3 linked regions of the Mus musculus genome follow. The protein of the gene in region 3 binds, or shares a complex with, the protein of the main gene of each other region. Links are inferred from orthologs where the notes say so. Each region holds a gene or a part of one and is shown on either strand. Other genes may lie near its edges. The genes, in order: Pstpip1, Csk and Ptpn22.

Region 1 (4,184 bases), on a different chromosome or scaffold from region 3:
TCTTCCTCCTCATCACCCATCTTTGAACCCCCATCTGGGACGCCCGCTCCTTGCCTACCCTGTTAGAGATCTGCCAAACACCTAGTCCCTCAGCAGGGAATGCAAGTGGATCCACAACACTTGTTCTAGTCGCTTGGGGGTGGGAAGTGTTGGTCCTTAGGAAAGGGCCTAGCTGGTGGCCATCCTCCAACACCCAGCTCCCTGGATTGAGGAGCTGTCCTCTCTGCCTACAAGACAGGGTAGCAGAGCTGAGTAAACAATGAGACAAAGGCCTGGGGGTGAAGTGACTTCGTGACTAGCCCACACTGAGAGAGCTCCACTGGCTACCTCCTCCTGTGCAGCCCTCAAACCAGCATTCCTGCCTCAGGCCTCACACTAGCTAGGGTCTCACAGGGTCCCCATAAATGACAGGAAGTTTTAGTCACACCTTAGAATGAGTTTTCTCACTCCTCACTCCTGTTACCGTAGTGAACCTGCCTGAGCCCCTGTGTGGCTTTTGGTGCATTGTAAGGACAGGCTAGGTATTTCAGGAGCTGTCATGATACCGCACACACCATGATCAGCCTTCCTGTCTGGTCCTCTGCTTCTGCCCAGACCCTCACCTTGCTCAAGAAGTAGTCACCTCCTCCCACTCTTCTTCTTGCCACACCAGGAGGGATGCTGTGGGTGCCTTGGAGAACAGAGTGGACCTTGGCCAATGTCCTGTGAGCCCCTCTGTGGTTACAGATGAGCAACATTAGCCCATGGGCACCTTAAAGCCCACCTGACCTTCACCCCTCCTAAACACAAGTGCTGAGATGGTCCCATCAGAGGAGATTTCATGTGTTTTATGATCTCTGCTCCACTGAGATCAGGGTGAAGGCATGTCTCCTAGTGAGGAGCAGTTATACTGTGAAACTAGACTTCAGCTAGAGTTTCCAGGTCTCCTGAGAGCCAAGCTACAGACTAGCAGGTTGTGTTGCACGTTTGCACATTGGTGATAAATGCCGAAAGTCAGAATCATTCTAACCTGTGGTCACCTTCCTCTGCAAGGCTAGCCTTGACATTTTATCTTTTAGGATTTGCATTTGTATGTCTGCTGTGCGGATGTGTGCAGGGGCCCGTGGAGGCCAGTGGTGATGGCTAGGGCTGGGGTTACAGGGCTGCGAGCCATCTGATGTGGGTGCAAGAACCAAATGTGCTCTTAACCCCTGAGCCATCGATAAGTGCAGCCCTTGGCCTTGAGGTTTTGCCTCTTACCACCTGGATGGCTTTTGGCCTCAGTGACTCAGTTTCCTTATCTGTAAATGGCTTGTGGGCCCGAGGCGGAAACCATTCAGGCTATCCTCATCCTGAGTGTGTCAGCACTGGAAGGTTAGGACTAAGTGGTCAGCGGTTGGTCACTGGCAGAGGCCTGCACATCTGCATATCTCATGGCTCCCAGGCTGTTGCTACTGCTCCATGGTCTTGTCAGGCAAGACACCTGGCAGTAACTAGGACCCCATAATCCTCCTTAGGGCCTGGATCTCCAGGGGTCCTCTCAGGTTGCCACTCCTCCTTGGCCTCAATGTCCCCAACTGTTCAGAGAGAAGAGGAAGCCCCCATGGAACATATTCATCCTACCCCGGAAGGAAGCACAGGCAGGTGGGCTTCCCTTACAGTTCACCCAGGGAATTGGTTATGTGACAGGTGCCACATGACTATATTACCACCAGGGGGCGGAAGAGCGCCCTGCAGAGAGGCAGTGAAAGCTTGCAACAAGGGCGCTACTTAGCTCTCGATGCTGAGCGTGGAGCAGGCTGTGCCACCATGCGTTTGCTTTTGTGTCCTTAAGAGACGTAGTACCCCTAAGCCCAAGCTGGGAGCGCAGAGGCACATCTCCCTCACATGCACGGCCTGATGTCACTCAGCTGCCGGAGAGGCTCTGGGAAAGGACGGAAGCTGGTGTAGCCAGGCAGAGACTCCTCCTACCTGAAGTTAAGGATGCCGCTTCTGGGAAGGCGCCACTGGAAAACTCTTCCAAAGTGCAACTGGGGTTAGAGGAAGACCTAGTTCGGCTGCTGGTGCCTGGGGGATGTCCTGGGGACTGGCGGAGTTTGCATATGTGTGAGTGTGACAGGCATGTTAAGCTCCTGACTTGCGCCAGGCTTCAACGATGCCTTATAGTGAGTGGACTATCATTCTCAAAACCACTTTGTGCTGCTAACTGCTCACCATAGAAGGGAAGTCAAGGCAGAGGGCCAGGTGGCTTGCCCAGGGTCACACAGTGAATAAGTGGTAGAGCCTGGCCATCTGGCTACAGGGTGTGCTGCTTTTGTGTGTGGAGACCGGAGTAAGAGGCCACCGCAGATTTCCTAGGTTGGTTCCCACACACACTATCTGCCCCCTCCTCTGAATGGAGCACATGCCTCTCGAGGGCCCTGCTCCTGAGAGCTTGGACTCGCGCTCACAGTTTCCGTATTGGCCCCAGGACTCCGATACCCACCGATAAACAGCAGTGTGTGCTGGCCGAGCCGGCATCTCTGCTTGGCCCTCAGCGCTACCATGCTCTGGGGTGAACAAGGCTGCCGGAGAGAATCCAGGGCGCCCAGTGTGCTGTTCAAGTAAACTGAGCAGAGTGGGGATTTCTGTGGGAAGGGGGTGGGAGCAGTTGGGACAGAGTCTTTTTTTTTTTTTTTTTTTTTTTTGGTCGCTTATGATGACCTTAAACTTGTGGCCTGTCTGCCTCTGCTGCCCAGGTGTCACCCCCACTTGCCCAGGGGCTTCCACTTTACCTGGCAGCCTCTCCTGCTTGAGCACTGTTCTAGCTCCCATACAGCCTCCTCCTTCCCCTCCCCTTGGTACCCAGCCTGAAGCAGATGCCATAGCTGTCCCTGGCTCTGTCCCTGCCCACCTCCCAGCCTTTCCTTATGCCTTCCATGCCACCTGCTGGAAAGAGCTATAAAGACCTTCCCCTGCGTCAGATTCATCCAGGCAATATTGAGTATAACCAGGTGCCTGCATGGGCGGAAGTCTCATAGAGGCTGGGAGCTTCCTGTGGACACACCCCTCTTCTCTGGGCTGCAAAGACATGGGGAGTGAGAAAGTGGGGGACAGAACTGCCGTAGCAAGGAGGCTTTCCCACCACAGCAAGGTTCCACTGCTTTTTAATTTACAAAGAAAACTGTTTTCTAGAATGTCAGTTGGGGGTTACATGAATGATGACCATGGCCAAAGGTCCCTTGCATCCATAGTAGTCAATATGGCTTAGGGCCCTCCCTCCAAAATAAAACACCATGGGTCAGGCAGGACGCCAGGCTCCTGCAGCATGCTGTCTACTGACCTAGACTTCTGTTTTGCAGTTCCCTGAGGACCTCCTTTGACTCCCTGAAGCAGCGTAAGTTCCAACCATCCCCACATGGGCAGCAGGGCCATTAGGGTCTCCTGGAAGACCCTTAGCCCTTGTATGGGGTGACTAAGTTAGGAGCTATGTGCTTGGGCTGTGGTCCAGCTCTGTGCCAGGCTGAAAGGCTGATGGAAGATGTGAGGGTGGGAGGTAGGGTGAGGGAGACAGACTGGTCCAAGCAGAGGCCACGCTGTCACCCTAGAAACAGAGAATGTGGGCAGTGCACACATCCAGCTGGCCCTGGCCCTGCGTGAGGAGCTGCGGAGCCTGGAGGAGTTCCGAGAGAGACAGAAAGAGCAGCGGAAGAAGGTGAGGGGGTGGGGAGGGCGAAGGAGGGGAGGTGGGGGACCCCCCCAGAGGCCACCCACTCACTGTTCTGGGGGCCAGTTGGGAAGCATGGCTTGATGAAGGGGGGAGAGTGTGTGTATGTTCTAGCTTGCTTTCCTGTTGCTGTGATAAACCCCTGACTTGGGAAGAAAGGTTTATCTTCTCAGGTCACACTCCATCACTGAGTGAAGTTAGGGCAGGAACCTAGAGGCAGGAACTGGAGCAGAACCGAGAGAAGGAATGTTTCCTGGCTTTGCTCCCAGCTCATGTTCAGCCCCGGTTTTCTCACATAGCCCAGGTCTACCACAGAGCTGCCAGGAGCCAGGAAGAGAAAGGGTGTGGAGCTTTTAGACGATCCTCCTTCATACTGTGTGATTAAGTATCCAACCTGAGTTGAGTGGCCCCTGGAAGCTGGCTCTGAACACAAGGATTAGGGCTGCTGGTTCTGGAGACAGGCAGACTTGGGGCCCGTAGTCTGCATGGCTGCTCAACA
Region 2 (3,192 bases), on a different chromosome or scaffold from region 3:
CTACACACAGCAGGTATTCGACCATTTGCAGTTGACTGACTCATAACAATTAGCCTGAAGTATGTGCAGAAGGTGGCTTTGTGGGGAGGCATTGCTTTGGGAGGGGCTGGGGCACAGTGGGCCTGTGGAGGTAGACAGAAGACGAGCTTCAGGCCAGAGCACAACGGGACAAGGGGAACCTCCCCACTCATCTCAATGAATCAAGGCTCTCCTACCCACTGCGGCTCTGCAGGCCCTGGACAACCTGGGGGGAGGAAAGCCCATGACTGGTCCTCATTCTCCCTCTGTGTGTCCCAGCTGGGACAGACAAAAGGTGCCTCGCTCCATGCAAAGCCCAAGAGGGCACAGGGCTTGGCACACAGTAGGGTGGGGAAGAGCAAAGCTGTCACATGTTAGATGAGACGTGAGAAGCCCCAGGGGCTCCCCTTCCCATCACCCTTGAGGTCAGTGTGGCCTGAGGCATGTTTATCTGGGCTCTCACCCCAGAGCCACATCCCATCTGGCCACGCCAGGACTTCACTTCTTTGTGCTTCAGGCCTGGACAACACGGCAGAAGCAGCCAGAATCCCCAGCAGCATACCAAGGACCGGTCCCAGAGCCCGAGGCAGCCCAGGAGCTCAGGCTCGGGTAGTAGCTGGCAGAGATGGACAGCGGTGAGCACTTCCCCACGGGCAGACACAGGACACTGGCTCGTGCAGCTGACACAAAGAGGCGGTTACATCTCCTGGCCATGCTTCCCTCTCAGCCCCACTCACAGAGACAGGGGGATGGACAAGATGGCATGGGAAGACGACTGGGCAGACAGGCAGGCTCGGCGGAGGAAGCGCCGAGGCTGGGTGGCGGTGTCCTCATGGAGTGGTTTATTGATTCCATCTCACAAGGCGGTGTGGGTGAGCGGCCACAGCACATGAAATCCAAGCCCCCGACAGACGCCTGCCTTGGGCACATGCAAACAGCGCAACATGGTCAAGCGCAAACACAGGCGACCGAGGCAACACTGGACATGGAACACGGGATGGGGGACGGGCTGGGGTGATGGGTCCCTAGAGAGAGGCTGATTCCTCCCCACCCCCAGGGGCAGGACAGGAAAAATAAGATTCGTACTTCTTGTAAAATGCCCATTTGCTGGGTACTTTCTTTCTCCTTATGTTGAAAAATAATAAAAAATAAACACACGGAAAAAAATCTCAAAAAAGGAAAGGAATAAAACTCTAAGAAGGCGAATGGTGGGGCCTTGAGGAGGCCAGCTGCACGGCACTCCTCCTGTTCCTTGGCCTCCTCTCCTCAGCCCCTTCAGTGGGCACCCCAAGCCCTATAGGTGGGTCCATGAGAGAAGATGCCAGGCCTAGGTGGGGTCCCTGGGGGCCAGAAGGGACAGGCAGGTCAGAGGCAAGAGGCCTACCAGCCGGCTGGGGCTCAGTTCAAGTTCAGGCCCAGCAAGCAGCAGGGCACCAGATCTGTAATCTCCGAGGCCCTGTCCCTGCCGGCCCATGGCCTTGGCGGAGGCAGAGGTCACAGGTGCAGCTCATGGGTCTTGATGTGCTCGAGCTGTTCCCGAAGCTGCAAAAACGTGGGCCGTGTGGCAGCATCCAGGTGCCAGCAGTTCTTCATCACCTCGTAGACTGCGGGCGGGCAGCCATCCGGAGCGTCCATCTTATAGCCCTTTTCCACCCGAGGGACGACGTCCTTCAGGGGCTGTGAGCAGATGGTGTGTGAGTCAGCTCAGCGTCTTACAGAGGGAGCCCTACCCAGAAGCCCCTCTCTAAGAAGTCAGGGAATGGCCTGGAGGCTACTCAGGACAGACCAGAGGCCCAGGCTCCAGACAGACAGGCGGTTCCCGTGGGATGCTCTTGCCGCCCCACCCTCCCTCGGCTTCAGCCACACACTGGCCTCCAGACCCATACTCACAATTCTTGGGTAAGGCACTCGCCCGAAGGAATAGATTTCCCAGAGAAGGATTCCGAAACTCCACACATCAGACTTGGTGGAAAATTTCTGCCATGTGGAGAAGAGAATCAGCATTGGGTCCTAGGGAGCTCTAGAGGGGTGGTTCCAGGACCCTCGCTCACCTTCTCTCTCAAGGCTTCAGGCGCTGTCCATTTGACTGGCAGCTTGCCTGTGTCCTGAGTGCTGGAGGCTTCCTTAGTGAGGCCAAAGTCACTGACTTTGGCCACGTTGTCTTCAGACACCAGCACATTCCGGGCAGCCAAGTCCCGGTGCACAAAATTGTTACCCTCCAGGTACTCCATGGCTTCACAGACGTCTCTGAGGGCAGGACAGCCACATGTCCCTCAGACGGGGACTCCCACTCATAGCAGGGCAGGGGGCTCCTTCAAGTTCTTACCCCCACCCAGGTTGCACTACTCACAATGAGAATTTGAGGAGACAGTCTCCACCTAGCACCGAACGACCACGTGATCGAAGATAGTCCACCAAACTCCCCTGCGGGTGGGACAGAAAGGGACAGGAGGGGGTGAGCAGGGAGGAGCCAGAACACTAGTGATAGAGTGTTCATACCATTCAACCCCACAATCTTTGGGCCACTTATGGGTGGGAAAACGGAGGTCTGAAAAGGTTGGCATGACTTGTTTTTTGTTTGTTTGTTTTGTTTTTCGAGACAGGGTTTCTGTGTAGCTCTGGCTGTCCTGGAACTCACTCTGTAGACCAGGCTGGCCTCAAACTCAGAAATCCGCCTGCCTCTGCCTCCCGAGTGCTGGGATTAAAGGCGTGCGCCACCACGCCCGGCTCGCATGACTTGTTTAAAGTTGGCCAATAAACGACTGGCCAGGCCAGGCAGAGTGGAGGGGCTGTGGGAGGAACAGGGTGAGGCTGAGGAGAACCTACCTTGGCCATGTACTCTGTGACGATGTAGAGCCCACCCTTCTCCTCCACAATCACACCCAGCAGCTGGACGAGGTTGCTGTGCCGAAGTTGCCTGTGGCAGGACAGGGTGGTCAGGAGTTCGGCCTGCCAACCCCCCACCCGGTGCTCCACCCAGGCAGTCCAGCTCACGTCATGACGGAGGCTTCAGCCAGGAAGGCCTGGGCAGTTGCGTCATTCTTGATGCACTTGACTGCAACTTTGTTGCCCCGGTAATCCCCCAGCATCACATCTGCAGGAGAGGCAGGGGCTAGTTCCTGGACTCCCAGGGCTCCCCCCACCTAACCCCTCTCCCGGGCTCCGTCAACTCAC
Region 3 (4,920 bases):
ATAAAAAGAAGGAAGGGTCTGGAAAGATGGCTCAGTAGATGGCTCTCTTGCTGTGTTTGCTGAGGTCCCACTTGCTGTGTTTGCTGAGGTCCCAGAGTCAGTTCTCAGCATCCACCCAGTGGCTCACAACCCCCTGTAACACCAGTTCCCAGGGATCCAACTCCATCTTCTGGCTTCCACAGGCACTGGGCAGGCACTAAATGCATAATATATAAATGCCGGCAAAACAACACATATACACACACCAAATACAAATCTTTCTTTAAAGGAGCAGGGTGTGCTTGATGGTACACGCCTTTACTTCTGTTACATAGGAGGCAGACAGACTTCTGAGAGTCTGAGGCCACCCTGGTCTACATAGTGAATCCCAGTGCAGTGAGAGCTGCATAACGAAACAACAATAAAAACTTAACAACGACAAAGAAGTCAGGACTGAAATCTGAGTTAAGGAACCTTTTGGTTTTGTTTCTTGGTTTGTTTGTTTGTTTGTTTTGTGGGGGGAGTTGTTGCACAGAAAATCTACATTTAAGTATAAATGCTGTATCATACTAGCCACTAAGGCTGCTAGCAGTGCCTTTACGTCATAAAGTTCATTCTGAAATCTCACAAACATCAAGAACTTCAGGTGGACTGTGGGCAGAAGTCAAGTGGAAACCTTCCAGTTGGATGGCAGTATTTCCCTGGGCCAACAGCTCCTCTCCCAAAGCTATTTTTCTGGTGTCTCAGTTGAACCTTTAGGTGGGGCTGAGGGTGAAACTCTTGTTTTTCCACTGGAGGACGTGAGTCAGTGAACAGTGAGGTTCCACTTAATCACCACCCAAAAGAAGGTTCTTAAGTATAAGGAGCCAGAAGGGCAAGGAGATGATTAATATAAACCCAGGACAGTGATTTACCCGGGTGGGATGGGGTGGAGGAATGGGGTGGGGTGGGGTGGGGTGGGTGGGTGGAGAGGCCAGTTGTGGAAGGGACAGTAGGGAATCTCTCCAAGTTAGACAGTGCTATATTTTTTGATCTGTGCAGTAACCGCATTAGCACTGGTTCCTTTATAACTATATTCACATGTTTTGTGTAGTTTTTCTAAATATATATTTTAGTTCACAATTATAAGCAGCTAACAAAATACAAGCTATAAAAAAGTTCTTAAGCTGAGAAAAATATGACCAGATTTATGTAATTAAAAGAGCACTTTGGAGCCTGGCATGGTGGTGTACACCATTGTACACCTTTCATCTCAGCACTCAGGAAACAGAAGGTGGATCTCTGAGTTCAAGGCTAGTCTCGTCTATACAGTGAGTTCCAGCCCAGCTATGGCTACATAGTGAGTCCTTGTCTAAGAAAATTAAGGTGGGACAAGGCTAGAAACAGAGAAAGCAGTCAGGAGGTGGCAGCCAGTTTGGTAAGAGACTATAACGACCTCTACGAGTGGTTAAAATATTAGAGATATAGTCTGCTCTGTTTTGAAAAATACAACCCAAGTAAGACAAAGATGTCACTACCTCTCAGCTCACGTCCCCTCTATATCTTAATAAATTGCCTTAAGAATGTCTCAGTGATACAGTCAAAAGGCATGCTTGGATCTAAGTAGACACATAGGCAACTCTACCCTGTGCCTAAACTACCCTGAGAACTTGTGGCAGAAAGAAAATATTTAAGTGACACCATAAGCTGGCATAATATCTTAGCCTCAAAGTTGGGCCACTATATACTAGCCTGCTGTGCTATCTAATAGTGATATCTGTTCAGTGAAAACATCATGGATAGTTTTCTCTTCTAATATCTGGTGCCAGAACGCTAGTTCTGGAAGGCAAAGACATTTTGTTTACTATTGTATCTTAGTGTGAAGAAACAAAGTTGGTACATAGTAAGTGCTCCTAAATGATCCCTTTTCTGAGACACGGTCCCTCTCAGTCGCCTGGGCGAGCCTTGAACTCAAGATTTAACCCACCTCAGCCTTCCAAGTAACTGGGTCTCTGGGTGCCTCCAAAACACCTTGTTCTCATTTAATTATTATAATTAATGATATAATCATCACAATAATCCAAAATGAGATAGATAGGACATAAATTATTATCCTCATTTTTTTAACCTAGAAAACAAAGAGTTAGGGTGATTTGGGAACACGTTAAATATTTGATAATTTGAATGATGACCATGTCGATGTTCTTTATTTTTCTCAATTCAAAGCTGAAGGGCTAAGGCTTAACATTCTTACAGTTCTGAAATACCAATTAGAAGCTTTTAGAACACAGCAGGTTGGTGTGGTCGTACATGCCTTTGATCCCAGTGAGGCAGAGGCAGGAGGATCTTTTAAGTTCAAGGCCAAACCTGATCTACATAGTGAGCTCTAGGCCAGACAGAGCTACATACTGATACAAACAAACAAACAAACAAACAAACACTAAGCAAAAACCAAAAGCATGACAGGTGTGTCAAATACCATGTTATCTGATGTGCCTGACAGGGATGGAAAATGGGCCGCCCAGCTTTTGTTACACTGTTAACTATGGCTCCCTCTAAGTGGATTTGAGTTCTGGATAATCAAGTCCACCTGCTCCCAGGCTACCTTGCTCTCCATGTCTCTCACGTGTCTCTACTCCCCACTCTCCCTAGCCCACTTCTCCAGACAATATAAGTTAAAGAAGCCCAGCTATTGTTAAAAAGGAAAATGCCTATTCTAATAATCAACTTGTTTTCAAAGGGATAGGAGAAAAAGTGGCAAAATGAGAGTTTTTGGTGTTTTTCAAACCCCTGTTATCCCAATGATAGCCTATAGGGAAGCTAAAAATAACACGTAACATGAAAAGCTACTCTTATTAGTAATCTGAAGCATATGTCACAATGCAAATGCTTTCTGCAGATGTTCAGAAAGCATTAATATCCATACACCTGTCTATACCTTCTGTAGGACCATTAAGCTCAAAAGAACAAGCAAACCCAACATTAAAACCAGCCTACCTGGAGAAAACCCTGAGCACAGACACAACAAAGCCCAGAGAGGTTATGTTCTTAGGTCGCCTTCCTCCCTTCCACTCCAAACTCCATGGTCGTGTTATCCCTACAGCAATTGCGTCTAGGCAAACTGGGCCACCACAGACTGCTACACAGTTTATCTAAGAACTCTTCAGAGCATTCCAGAACTCACCAGAAATTCACTGGCAAACTCCTCACTGTTGAGTTTCTTTTTCTGGGCTTCTTTCAGTAGTTGCTGCAGAATTTCTCTTTGGTCCATGCCGCAGAGCAAGAGTCTGTGAGTAGGTTAAGGGAGGGCATGTCAAATATGTGTCATGGCCAAGGCAGCACCAAGAAGCCACTGCTGCTGCAGGAGCACAGCGTGCTGGAGGCTGTGGTTTACTGACTTCATCACAAGCCCTAGAGGAAATTAGTACAAAACTAGCTTCTGTGGTCACACAACAAAGCCATCATCTCCCTGCAGGGCCCTAGCGCCTTCCTTTCTCAACAAAGAAACTTGGCTACTGTTCAAATGTAACAAACAAGAGGCTAACCAGAACACAAACTGTGGTCTGCTTAGCTCAGAGACTGTTCCACGCTGTCAGTCTCAGACAGCACTCAGTTCTTCCATTCCCAGAAGAAAGGCAGAAAGTACAGCACTAACCTGTGAGTTCAGCTTTTCACATCCCAGTGAGCAGAAAGGCCTGGGTGACGCCCACCTATGCCCTGCTGCAGGAGAGGAGACAAACACTGGAGTTACCTATCTCCGACCCGGACCATTATCCCCAAAGTCTCCTATAGATATGATCATGGCAGACCTCTGCTCATCAAGCGGGCATTTTGTTTCAGAATTTGTCAAGCTTCCATTATAAACCTCACGTTTTTCTTTTAGAGGAAGCAAAGTCCACTGCTTCTGATGGTCCATCTCACCCGTGACTGGGGAAGTACTGGCCCTCATTAAGGGAAGTGTTGGTCTCTGTACTTCTTCAGACCTCCAGTAGCTTTGCAAACACTGAGAGTACAGCTCTACACAGGATGGGAAGCACCGGGGAGGCAGTTAGCACAATATCCCCAGAACGCACTGCTAGCAAACAGCGAAAGGACAAAACGGAACTAAAGCTAAAATATTGCTTGCTGAGAACCATACAGATTCTATCTAGGTCAGCCTGTCTGGAGAGAATTGAGGAGAGGTGGTGCAGTCCCAGCTCCTCAGGACTGTCCCCAGCTGCAAGATCACTTGAGTCTCAGAGTTTGAGACACCTGAGAAACAAAGTGAGCGCTCTCTCTCTCTCTCTCTCTCTCTCTCTCAGAAGGGGAGGGAGGAAGAATGAAAGAGGCTGAAGAATTCATGAAGACATGTTGACATTTTGATCCTACAGAGCCTATCTCAGAAAAGATCGCGTTTCAGGGAGCCGTCCACATCTGTGGTATCAGTGCCTTAACAAGGCAGGTTATTCCAGAGAATGCTTCCACATCTCCGTTTGCATAAATCCTCTCTTCGATGGGCACAAATCCACTCAAGATCTAATTCAGTGTGAAAACCCTTGCAAATGAGGAAGTTCAGTAAACAGAATGTTACAAAATTAGTTTCAAGTTAAAAAAAAAAACTGGGAAAGGTGTAGTTTGGACTTCCTCTATTAAGATATTAGCAACCCTTTCTGGTTTTACACTATTCAAACTCCCTTCAGAAAATCATGATTTTGAACACAAAACACGCTGCACCCTCTTCATTGAACCCTTGGCAGGCAATTTGAAGTTAGTATTTCACATAAAGAATTTCAAATGTAGTTCACACAAATTAAAATGAACCATAATTCTTCAGCAATATTTCCTGAGACTAAAACAAATCTCTGAGATTATCCTTGTCTAGCAACAACAGGAAATTTCTTGCTACTCTAAATGATGCAATATTTGACTATTTTAAAACATACAAAATATGGGGAAGCTTTATTTTTAAAAAGAATACAACAT

What was found.
Region 1: the proteins of Ptpn22 (region 3) and Pstpip1 are in contact, whole or in part, in a crystal structure (PDB 7AAM), measured with the Homo sapiens proteins. The link is inferred for Mus musculus from reciprocal best matches to the Homo sapiens genes PTPN22 and PSTPIP1. Residues at the interface, in NP_057051.4 of Homo sapiens: Ser793, Lys794, Pro795, Gly797, Pro798, Arg799, Asn800, Pro801, Pro802, Trp805, Asn806; in NP_003969.2 of Homo sapiens: Thr225, Arg228, Asn229, Trp232, Asn236, Ser239, Met240, Cys242, Val243, Asp246.
Region 2: the proteins of Ptpn22 (region 3) and Csk are in contact, whole or in part, in an NMR structure (PDB 1JEG), measured with the Mus musculus proteins. Residues at the interface, in NP_033005.1 of Mus musculus: Pro614, Pro615, Leu616, Pro617, Glu618, Arg619, Thr620, Glu622, Ser623, Phe624, Ile625, Val626, Val627; in NP_001291690.1 of Mus musculus: Phe20, Thr23, Gln26, Ala40, Val41, Thr42, Lys43, Asp44, Asn46, Trp47, Ile59, Pro61, Asn63, Tyr64.

What each region holds. Positions count from the first base shown.
Region 1 is NC_000075.6:56,116,981-56,121,164, forward strand, and holds part of Pstpip1 (proline-serine-threonine phosphatase-interacting protein 1), read left to right. Parts: intron 1-1,496; exon of another isoform or gene 1,497-1,546; coding exon of another isoform or gene 1,547-1,623; intron 1,624-3,320; coding exon 3,321-3,355; intron 3,356-3,566; coding exon 3,567-3,673; intron 3,674-4,184. UniProt on the Homo sapiens protein: Involved in regulation of the actin cytoskeleton. May regulate WAS actin-bundling activity. Bridges the interaction between ABL1 and PTPN18 leading to ABL1 dephosphorylation.
Region 2 is NC_000075.6:57,625,809-57,629,000, forward strand, and holds the end of Csk (tyrosine-protein kinase CSK), read right to left. Parts: intron 3,113-3,192; coding exon 3,013-3,112; intron 2,936-3,012; coding exon 2,845-2,935; intron 2,443-2,844; coding exon 2,369-2,442; intron 2,266-2,368; coding exon 2,070-2,265; intron 1,996-2,069; coding exon 1,909-1,995; intron 1,696-1,908; coding exon 1,513-1,695; 3' UTR 838-1,512; downstream 1-837. UniProt on the Homo sapiens protein: Non-receptor tyrosine-protein kinase that plays an important role in the regulation of cell growth, differentiation, migration and immune response.
Region 3 is NC_000069.6:103,858,713-103,863,632, reverse strand, and holds the start of Ptpn22 (tyrosine-protein phosphatase non-receptor type 22), read right to left. Parts: upstream 3,357-4,920; 5' UTR 3,230-3,356; coding exon 3,143-3,229; intron 1-3,142. UniProt on the Homo sapiens protein: Acts as a negative regulator of T-cell receptor (TCR) signaling by direct dephosphorylation of the Src family kinases LCK and FYN, ITAMs of the TCRz/CD3 complex, as well as ZAP70, VAV, VCP and other key signaling molecules.